Macaca mulatta: one gene and its partner. Each later gene encodes a partner of the first gene's protein in a complex. Links are inferred from orthologs where the notes say so. Each region holds a gene or a part of one and is shown in the gene's direction. Other genes may lie near its edges. The genes, in order: PDS5B and WAPL.

Evidence for each region.
Region 2: the proteins of PDS5B (region 1) and WAPL are in contact, whole or in part, in a crystal structure (PDB 5HDT), measured with the Homo sapiens proteins. The link is inferred for Macaca mulatta from reciprocal best matches to the Homo sapiens genes PDS5B and WAPL. Residues at the interface, in NP_055847.1 of Homo sapiens: Gln47, Phe88, Ala92, Pro93, Ala95, Trp137, Val138, Lys139, Ser140, Asn142, Ile143, Phe145, Glu146, Glu187, Gly188, Asp189; in NP_055860.1 of Homo sapiens: Lys7, Thr8, Tyr9, Ser10, Arg11.

What each region holds. Positions count from the first base shown.
Region 1 is NC_133422.1:12,351,965-12,356,458, forward strand, and holds the start of PDS5B (sister chromatid cohesion protein PDS5 homolog B), read left to right. Parts: upstream 1-1,644; 5' UTR 1,645-1,788; intron 1,789-2,265; exon of another isoform or gene 2,266-2,639; intron 2,640-4,494. UniProt on the Homo sapiens protein: Regulator of sister chromatid cohesion in mitosis which may stabilize cohesin complex association with chromatin. May couple sister chromatid cohesion during mitosis to DNA replication.
Region 2 is NC_133414.1:63,336,887-63,340,696, forward strand, and holds part of WAPL (wings apart-like protein homolog), read left to right. Parts: intron 1-976; coding exon 977-1,495; intron 1,496-3,810. UniProt on the Homo sapiens protein: Regulator of sister chromatid cohesion in mitosis which negatively regulates cohesin association with chromatin. Involved in both sister chromatid cohesion during interphase and sister-chromatid resolution during early stages of mitosis.

The sequences.
Region 1 (4,494 bases):
GCGTGCCTGTAGTCCCAGCTACTTGGGAGGCTGAGGCAGGGGAATCGCTGGAACCCGGGAGGGGGAAGTTGCAGTGAGCTGAGATCGCGCCACTGCACTCCAGCTTGGCGACAGATTGAGACTCCGTCTCAAAAAAAAAAAAAGAAAAAAAAAAGAAAAAAAAAATTCTTGCTCTCATCCTGCCGTTCTTCTGAAACTTTCTTGCTTCCTGGCTTTGGAGGTTTGGGAATTGAAGAAAATAAAGTAAAAAAGATAAAAACAACCAAAGAGGAAAGGTTTTTCTAGATCTAGACATCCTACTCTCTTCTTCCATACAAGATTTATGCTGATGGAACAACAATGTAAAATAAGAAAATTCCTGAGATAATTTTAAAAAGAGAGCAGAAAAAACTCATAGTGGACTTCATCAAGGAATGTGTAAAATGGGTAGAACCTGGAGTATTCAGTGGCAAAATCTTGGACATAGGAATACAGTAACACAACATATTGGTCTAGCAAGCACTGTAGGAGACTGAAGCGGAATTGTCCAGGAAATCCCACAAAAATGGAAATGAAGAGGTCTCAGTATCTCTAGGTGCAGAAAGGAGATAGCCTTCAAAACAGCTACATGGTAAGGGTGAATGAGGCAATTACCATTAGGACAGACAGAGGAAAATGCACCTAGTATCTCTAGGTGCACAGTAACATTAGTTTACAGATCAGCATTACCTATCTTTTCTTTCAGTTGATAAGTATCCTATTGTAATCCATTCATTCACCCTTTGCTTGTTCATTGTTGAAACAAATTCTCCCTGGAACAAAATTCTAGTAACCAAATACATCATATCGGGGGAAACTTCCTTACAGGAGGGATGATATTAAAGTAAAAAGAGGAGGAAGTCCCTTCTTCAGTTCTGGCAGGGGAGGAAAAGCTTCCCCAAAGGTAGGTGATCTGTTGTGACCAGGCTAAACCCACTTGAGGGACTGGCATCCCCGAAAGGTGAAGAGGGGAGGAGACCCACCTCCTGGAATGTGTCCCTGTGGTCTCCAGATGATGTCTTCCTCTAATAAGGACAATTCTGCCAAAGGAATAGAATGCTTCGTCACAGGCTCAATTACTCTGTGTCTCCGCCAGCTTACCACCTATGAACAATTCATCAAATTAGGAAAGCGGGGAGATTTAATAAAGACACAACACATAAAGTGTAGGAAAACTATTTGTATGGCATTCCGAGACGACTAGGTCAGAATTAACAAGGAGCAAAGTAGTTAATAATACCAATTATGTTAACCTAGCACAACACCTGTGCTGAATGTCAGTGTTTAAAAAAATCTCCCAATCTTTATCTAAAAAGATAGGGCTACGTAACAATCGGAATGATTTTTGTCGGTGGAGGTCTAGTAAGCTGCAAGGGTAGTGGACGCCTTGACAGCTGCCAGTCTCGCGGCCTCCGCGGCGGCGTGCCCGTGTGGCTGCGTGCGCGCGGACGGGGCGGGGCTGAGGAGGGGAGTGCGCGCGCGCGGACGGGGCGGGGCGGAGCTCGGAGGGCGGGCGCGCGCGGGGCCGTCTGGTCGGCAGGGGGCGCTGCGCACCCATGCCGCGCTCTGCCTGCCCCCGGGTGCTGTCCGCGGCGGTTCGATTGGAGCAGCCGCCGAAGAGCGCTTGGCGCCATTTTGAAGCGGAGAGGAGGAGGAACGGCCGGGCTGGCTGCGGAAGGGGAGGGGGGAGAGAAGGCGATTGGATGCGGCGGCGGCGGCGGATCCCGGAGAGCCGCGGAGTGAGAGGAGTAGCGAGTCGGAAACCCGGAGGTAGGAAACAATTCAGTTAACGGAAAGAAAATGTCTCTCTTCTCTGGCCGCGGCGCTCCATTTTTCGGTGGCCGCCACTGCTGCTGTGTGTGTGTGTGTGTGTGTGTGTGTGTGTGTGGCAGGGCTGAAGCGCCGCCCGCCCGGGTGCCAGGCGCGACTCGCCTCCCGGCATCGGGGGCTGCAGCGGGCGGCTGCCTGGCGGCGGCCCGGGGCGGGGGTCGCGGGGCGCGGGCCGGCTGCGCGGTGGGGGTGGGGAGGGCCCCGCGGCCGACTCGCGCCTCCACGCCGCGGGCTCTGCCGCAGCCTCTGGAAATTAAACTTGCCGCTCTGATCCCGGCCCGGGCGGCGGCGGCGGCGGGCGGTGACCTTGCGCGCGGGCTGGGGTCCCGGGGCCGCCCGGCCGCCCGCGCCCTCCCGCCGCCACCGCCGCCGCCGCGCCCCTCCCCCCGCGCCCCGGCCGGCCGGCGGCTGTTTCCCGGGCGGCAGGCGGGCGGCGCGGTGCTCCTGTTGAATCCTCCCGCGGGCGGGCTTCTCCCCCTTCCGGGCGAGGGGCGGGCGGGGACCGCGGGTCGGGGCCGCGGGCGCCCTCGCCCTCGCCCTCGCCCTCGCCGCCGGGTCCCCGCGCGCCGCCTGGCCTGCGCTTCGGGCCAGGGGACGGGCTGAGCATGACATTTTTGCGCTGTTCCTCGCTGCTTGCCCGAGGGAAATCGCGCTCACCGCGCCGCCCGGAGTGGGTGCTCGGGGAACCTGAGGACCCCGTTGAGCAAGAGCCCAGCGCTGGCGTGGAGGGACTCCTCCCAGGCGACAACTGGGTTCTAGCTTTCCTTTCGGAAGGAACGGCGGGGAAAATGGTGTGCAATTGTGACTCGTTAATGTTTTTGCACTGTTATTTTAATGCTACTTTAAAAGTTTTCGGTCCGGAGAAAAACCTTGTTTGTTGTTGTTGCTGCTACTGCTGTTGGTTTTTGGTAGAGACGTGAAAGCTAACTCAGAAGTAGCTCGACAGTTATTTTGGAGGAATGACTGAAACCAGAAACGCCGCCCCTCGCCTTCGGAACTGCAGGCTGCTGCGTTCCTTGCCGCGGACGGGGCGAGCTCCGGGAAGGGTTGAAAGAGCAGCTACCCACCCATTCCGCGCGCGTCTTCAACAGCCTCTCTACCCCAGCAAGGGTTAACCCTTTTTTATGTCGAAGAAAGTGCTTCTTGTACTTTTAATAAGAGGTGATGGATGGGCAGTGGTGCCCCGACTGATCCTACCCTGTCGATGAAATAGTTTCGGAAACTTTGGATATAGCTTTAATTTAGAGGGTTGGTCTGCGGTGTGGAGAGAGTTGGGTAATCCTATACCATCTTCCTAATAAACTTCAAAAACTCACGTTGTGTTTACATGCAGGAGGCGAGCTGTAAATAAATCGTCATTACCCAATACTTGAACGGCAATATAGTCGTTGTTCTCAGTTAACCCATCCAGAGTTCCCAGACAGAACGTTTTTTATATTAACTCATGTAGTGGTCAGGTAAACTAGTTAAAAGCCACAAATATGGACTTGAAAGACAGCTCGTTATGCAGTACACATGTCTGAGATGTTCCCATCTTTAGGGACAATGAAATGAGTATTCAATGGTGTATGTGGGTCAGTTCGTGGAACAGTTAATCTTGTATCTCATGGTGATAGCAGAAAACCGAATTAAAATTTGTAGTGGTGAATAGGTGAAAGTTACATGGGACCTTTTATGTTAAGATCGATTGATTGTCAGAAACTAAAAACATTTTAAGAACGTTATTCCTTAGAAATAAGATTTGTGCTTGATATACGTTTACAAGTATATGTAAAAAGATGCACTTTAGACTTTATAAAAATTATCCAAATAGTGACTTTTTCCTCCTTTTTCTGATGGTTTAAAAAATTGTCCTCTTCTCAGCTGGCGTTTACTTAAAGGTGTATTTTAAATGGGAAGGTAGTGTTTGTGTTCACCCTTTTTCTTTTTTTCTTTTCTCCTTGTTTTGGTTAAGGCTGATTTTCCCTATATTACCTTTTACAGCAGCTTTTGTTACTCTTGTCGCCTTTATTCTCTCGTGTTATGTCTCTCCCCTCTCATTTTTACCCCCGTATTAGAGACACATGTACTGATGATAGTGATTCTTGTCGTGAGATGTTTGTATTAAGCTTACTTGTAGTAAGATTCTACCGAGTTGGCTGTTTGATGAAAGTTGTTTAAATTGTTCTGCAGCTTTGTTTAACAAAGTAACATTTTGAGGAGTAGGCTTTATCAATAATTTGTTAGGCCTAAGATAAAGTAATACTTTGTGTTAGGGCTTGCCCTGGAGAAGAATGCAATGGTAGAAAATACCCAAAACTTTGTGAGAAAGGAATATTTCGGGAAGTTGTATTCTTTCTGCTTATTCCTCTTGGGAAATTTAGAGACTGCCTTAGAACTAACAGGAGTGCGCTCAGTAAGATTTGGCTTATGGACTCTTGAATGACATGGACTGTATATAACTTATATTGGAAAAGTTATTTATGTTTCCTCCGTTAGTGTTAGAGAGCAACAAGAAAACTTAAGGATGATCTCCAACTCGCTTATACATGAGAAATTCGGTTCAGATTTTAATTTCATTGATTTATCTGAGGTCACAGTCGTATTCATGTGGTGGAATTGGGGCAGCTCTTAGATATCCTGGAAGCTGAGAAGTTTCCCCATTGT
Region 2 (3,810 bases), on another chromosome or scaffold:
AGGTTATATGTTTCTATTCCTGTATTAATCCATGAAACAGTGTAATATGCTGGAGCTCACTAGCTCCAGAAAATGTAACTCAGCAAATGAGCACAGCACTATCGGGACAAGGCAGATAGGATAAGGATAGTTTCTTTCCCTTAGGGAAATGACCATCTAAGGAACATTTTTTAAGTCACAGCCCGAATTACATTACACCAAGAAGCAGAATCTTCAGGATTGGGTTAAAAGCTGCAGGTTGTAAAACATGAGAAAAAGCACCATTTTGGGGACCTTTTTTCTCCTATGAATTAGTGCCATGAAATTTCAAAGAACTAAATTTAATCAAGTATTGGATATTTCTGAGGCCCTGAAAAAAATTAACATTCTGTGCTTAAGATTTTATATAGGTAATTACCCTATATAGATTATTATAACATCACTGCAACCTCCATCTCCTGAGTTCAAGCAGTTCTCCTGCCCCAGCCTCTCAAGTAGCTGGCATTACAAGCGTGTGCCACCACTCGCAGCTAATTTTTTTATTTTTAGTAGAGACAGGGTTTCACCATGGTGGCCAGGCTGGTCTCAAACTCCTGGCCTCAAGTGATTTGCCTGCCTCGACCTCCCAGCCTCTATACAGATTATTTTTTAAGGTAAAAATGATGTTTATAAGAATAGCAAGTTGATTCATTTGGAGCTTAATACGTTTCAAGTTAGCTTTGTGGATATCGTATTATAAGTTGGTTAATCATTAAGTTTTTTTACTTTGTAAGTAGCATAAGAATATGTACTCATTGTAGAGGAAAATTGACATGGAAGCATGTAGAGTAATAAATCAGCCTTTCTTTATACCCCTTCCTCATATTTGTTTGTTTAAAAGTCTGTGGTGATGTCAAAAGTCATGAGGGAATAATCCCTAGGTTTTTATTTTTATAGCACTGTTTAACACTTGTTGAGTATTTGATGATTATATGTTTTCTTAAATTTTTTTTCACAGAATATGAAACTGGTGTCAAAATGACATCCAGATTTGGGAAAACATACAGTAGGAAAGGTGGAAATGGCAGTTCAAAATTTGATGAAGTCTTTTCCAACAAACGGACCACCCTTAGCACAAAATGGGGAGAGACTACATTTATGGCTAAATTAGGGCAGAAGAGGCCCAATTTCAAACCAGATATCCAAGAAATTCCGAAGAAACCTAAAGTGGAAGAAGAAAGTACTGGAGATCCTTTTGGATTTGATAGTGATGATGAGTCTCTACCAGTTTCTTCAAAGAATTTAGCCCAGGGTAAGGGTTCCTCTTACTCAGAATCTAGTGAAGCTGCTCAGCTGGAAGAGGTCACTTCAGTACTTGAAGCTAATAGCAAAATTAGTCATGTGGTGGTTGAAGACACTGTTATATCTGATAAATGCTTCCCTTTGGAGGACACTTTGCTTGGGAAAGAAAAGAGCACAAACCGAATTGTAGAAGATGATGCAAGCATAAGTAGCTGTAACAAATTAATAACTTCAGGTAAGTTTTGATTTTCTTTATTCTCAGCCAAGAGGGCTTCATGCAAGCAACTTTTAAAAATGATTTAACTTCTAAAATACATACTGTGTTTTCTTTCTGCACTTAGGATAAATGGGGACTATTGATAGTTTTGTAAAAGACATTTAAGAACTTTAAAGAAACCAGTTGGAGGTTGAAATAATAAAACAACTTGGATATTAATGTTTATAGACTGTTGCTCAGGGTACATTTTGGGAACAGTCATACGTTTCTAACCCCGATTCCAATAAGAAATATCTCTTTTTGTTGTGTTAGGATCACGGAGTATCTCATTTCTATTACTGTGGAGGATTTGGATGGTTATTGTTAATGAAAATGAGATGAGTACTTAAAATGAGGATTAGTTAACAATGGTAGACTCTCTGCCAAAACTAGCTCAGAAAGATTAAGGAGGTATTGAGTGGAGACATTAAAGAATTGAACTTGATTCCAAATTGAGATTAGTTTGGGGCCAGTAGCAGCTTGTATTGATAGATTTATTTATTTTGAGACGGAGTCTTGCTCTGTCGCCCACGCTGGAGAGCGGTGGTGCCATCTCGGCTCACTGCGCGCTCTGCCTGCCAGGTTCATGCCTTTCTCCTGCCTCAGCCTCCCAGGTAGCTGGGACTACAGGGGCCCACCACCACGCCCGGCTAATTTTTGTATTTTTAGTGGAGACAGAGTTTCACTGTGTTAGCCAGGTTGGTCCCGATCTCCTGACCTTGTGATCCGCCTGCCTCGACCTCCCAAAGTGCTGGGATTACAGGCGTGAGCCACCGTGCCCCGCCGTATTGATAGATTTTAAACCACAAAACTGGTTGTATTTTAAAAATGTTAATTTGTAAATAGAGCATCTAGTACTCTCTCCTAAAACGATACATTTTGTTCTGTCTCCTGTAAGGGATTTGAGATTTATAATAAGTGAAAAAGGTACAATTAACTAAAAGACTGAAGAGCTAATATTGAGGGTGGCAGGGAAGAGGTGGGGTAGAGAAGTGGGAGCACTCTATCAGCATTAGGATAAGGGTGGCACTATACTGTAATTGAAAAGAAACCTTAGTTCTTGACATCTTGGCAAAGTTTAGCAATAATGAAAGGTTATAAAAATCTTCCTTTGAAAGGAAGTAAACACAAACACAAAACTTTGCTGTACTGAATTCTTTTTTTTTTTTTTTTTTTGAGACGGAGTCTTGCTCTGTCGCCCAGGCTGGAGCGCAGTGACCAGATCTCGGCTCACTGCAAGCTCCGCCTCCCGGGTTCCCGCCATTCTCCTGCCTCAGCCTCCCGAGTAGCTGGGACTACAGGCGCCCGCCACCTCGCCCGGCTAGTTTTTTGTATTTTTCAGTAGAGACGGGGTTTCACCGTGTTAGCCAGGATGGTCTCGATCTCCTGACCTCGTGATCCACCCGTCTCGGCCTCCCAAAGTGCTGGGATTACAGGCTTGAGCCACCGTGCCCGGCCTGTACTGAATTCTTAAGGGGAATTTGTCCTTTGAAGGTTAAGGCACATGAAACAGTACAATGTACTGGGCTTTGCATAGTTTTACTAAAAATGTTGAGCATTTTTTCACTCTTTCTCTCACTCTTGGATGAGACGATGAGCCAGCTGTTACTGTCATTCCTTTGATCCTCCGGGTTAATTCTAATTTGGCTGTCCTTACTGCTTTGCCCACATTTCTCCTCAGGCGTTGTTGGCAAGTTTAGGTTAAATTTCCATTAAAAAGACGGCATAAAGGGCCTGTGCAGTGGCTCATGCCTGTAATCCCAGGACTTTGGGAGGCCAAGGCGGGTATATCACCTGAGCTCAGGAGTTCAAGAGCAGCCTGGCCAACGTGGTGAAACCCCATCTATATTAAAAATACAAAAAATTAGCTGGGCGTGGTGGTGGGTGCCTCTAATTCCACCTAATAGGGAGGTTGAGGTGGGAGAATCACTTGAACCCAGGAGACAGAGGTTGCAGTGAGCCAAGATTGTGCCCCTGCACTCCAGCCTGGGCAACAAAGCAAGATGCCATCTCAAAAAAATAAATAAATAAATAGCATAAACAGCATGAAAACTGTTTTCAGGTCAGCTTCTAAAAATACATAAATGTATGTTAAAATCATCAAACTTTGACACAGAGTCTCACTGTGTTGCCCAGACTGGAGTACAATGGCGCCATCTTGCCTCACTGTAGCCTCTGCCTCCTGGGTTAAAGTGATTCTCCCACCTCAGCCTCCGCAGTAACTGGGATTATAGGCACCTGCCATCATGTCTCGATAATTTTTATATATATATATATATATTTTTTTTTTTTTT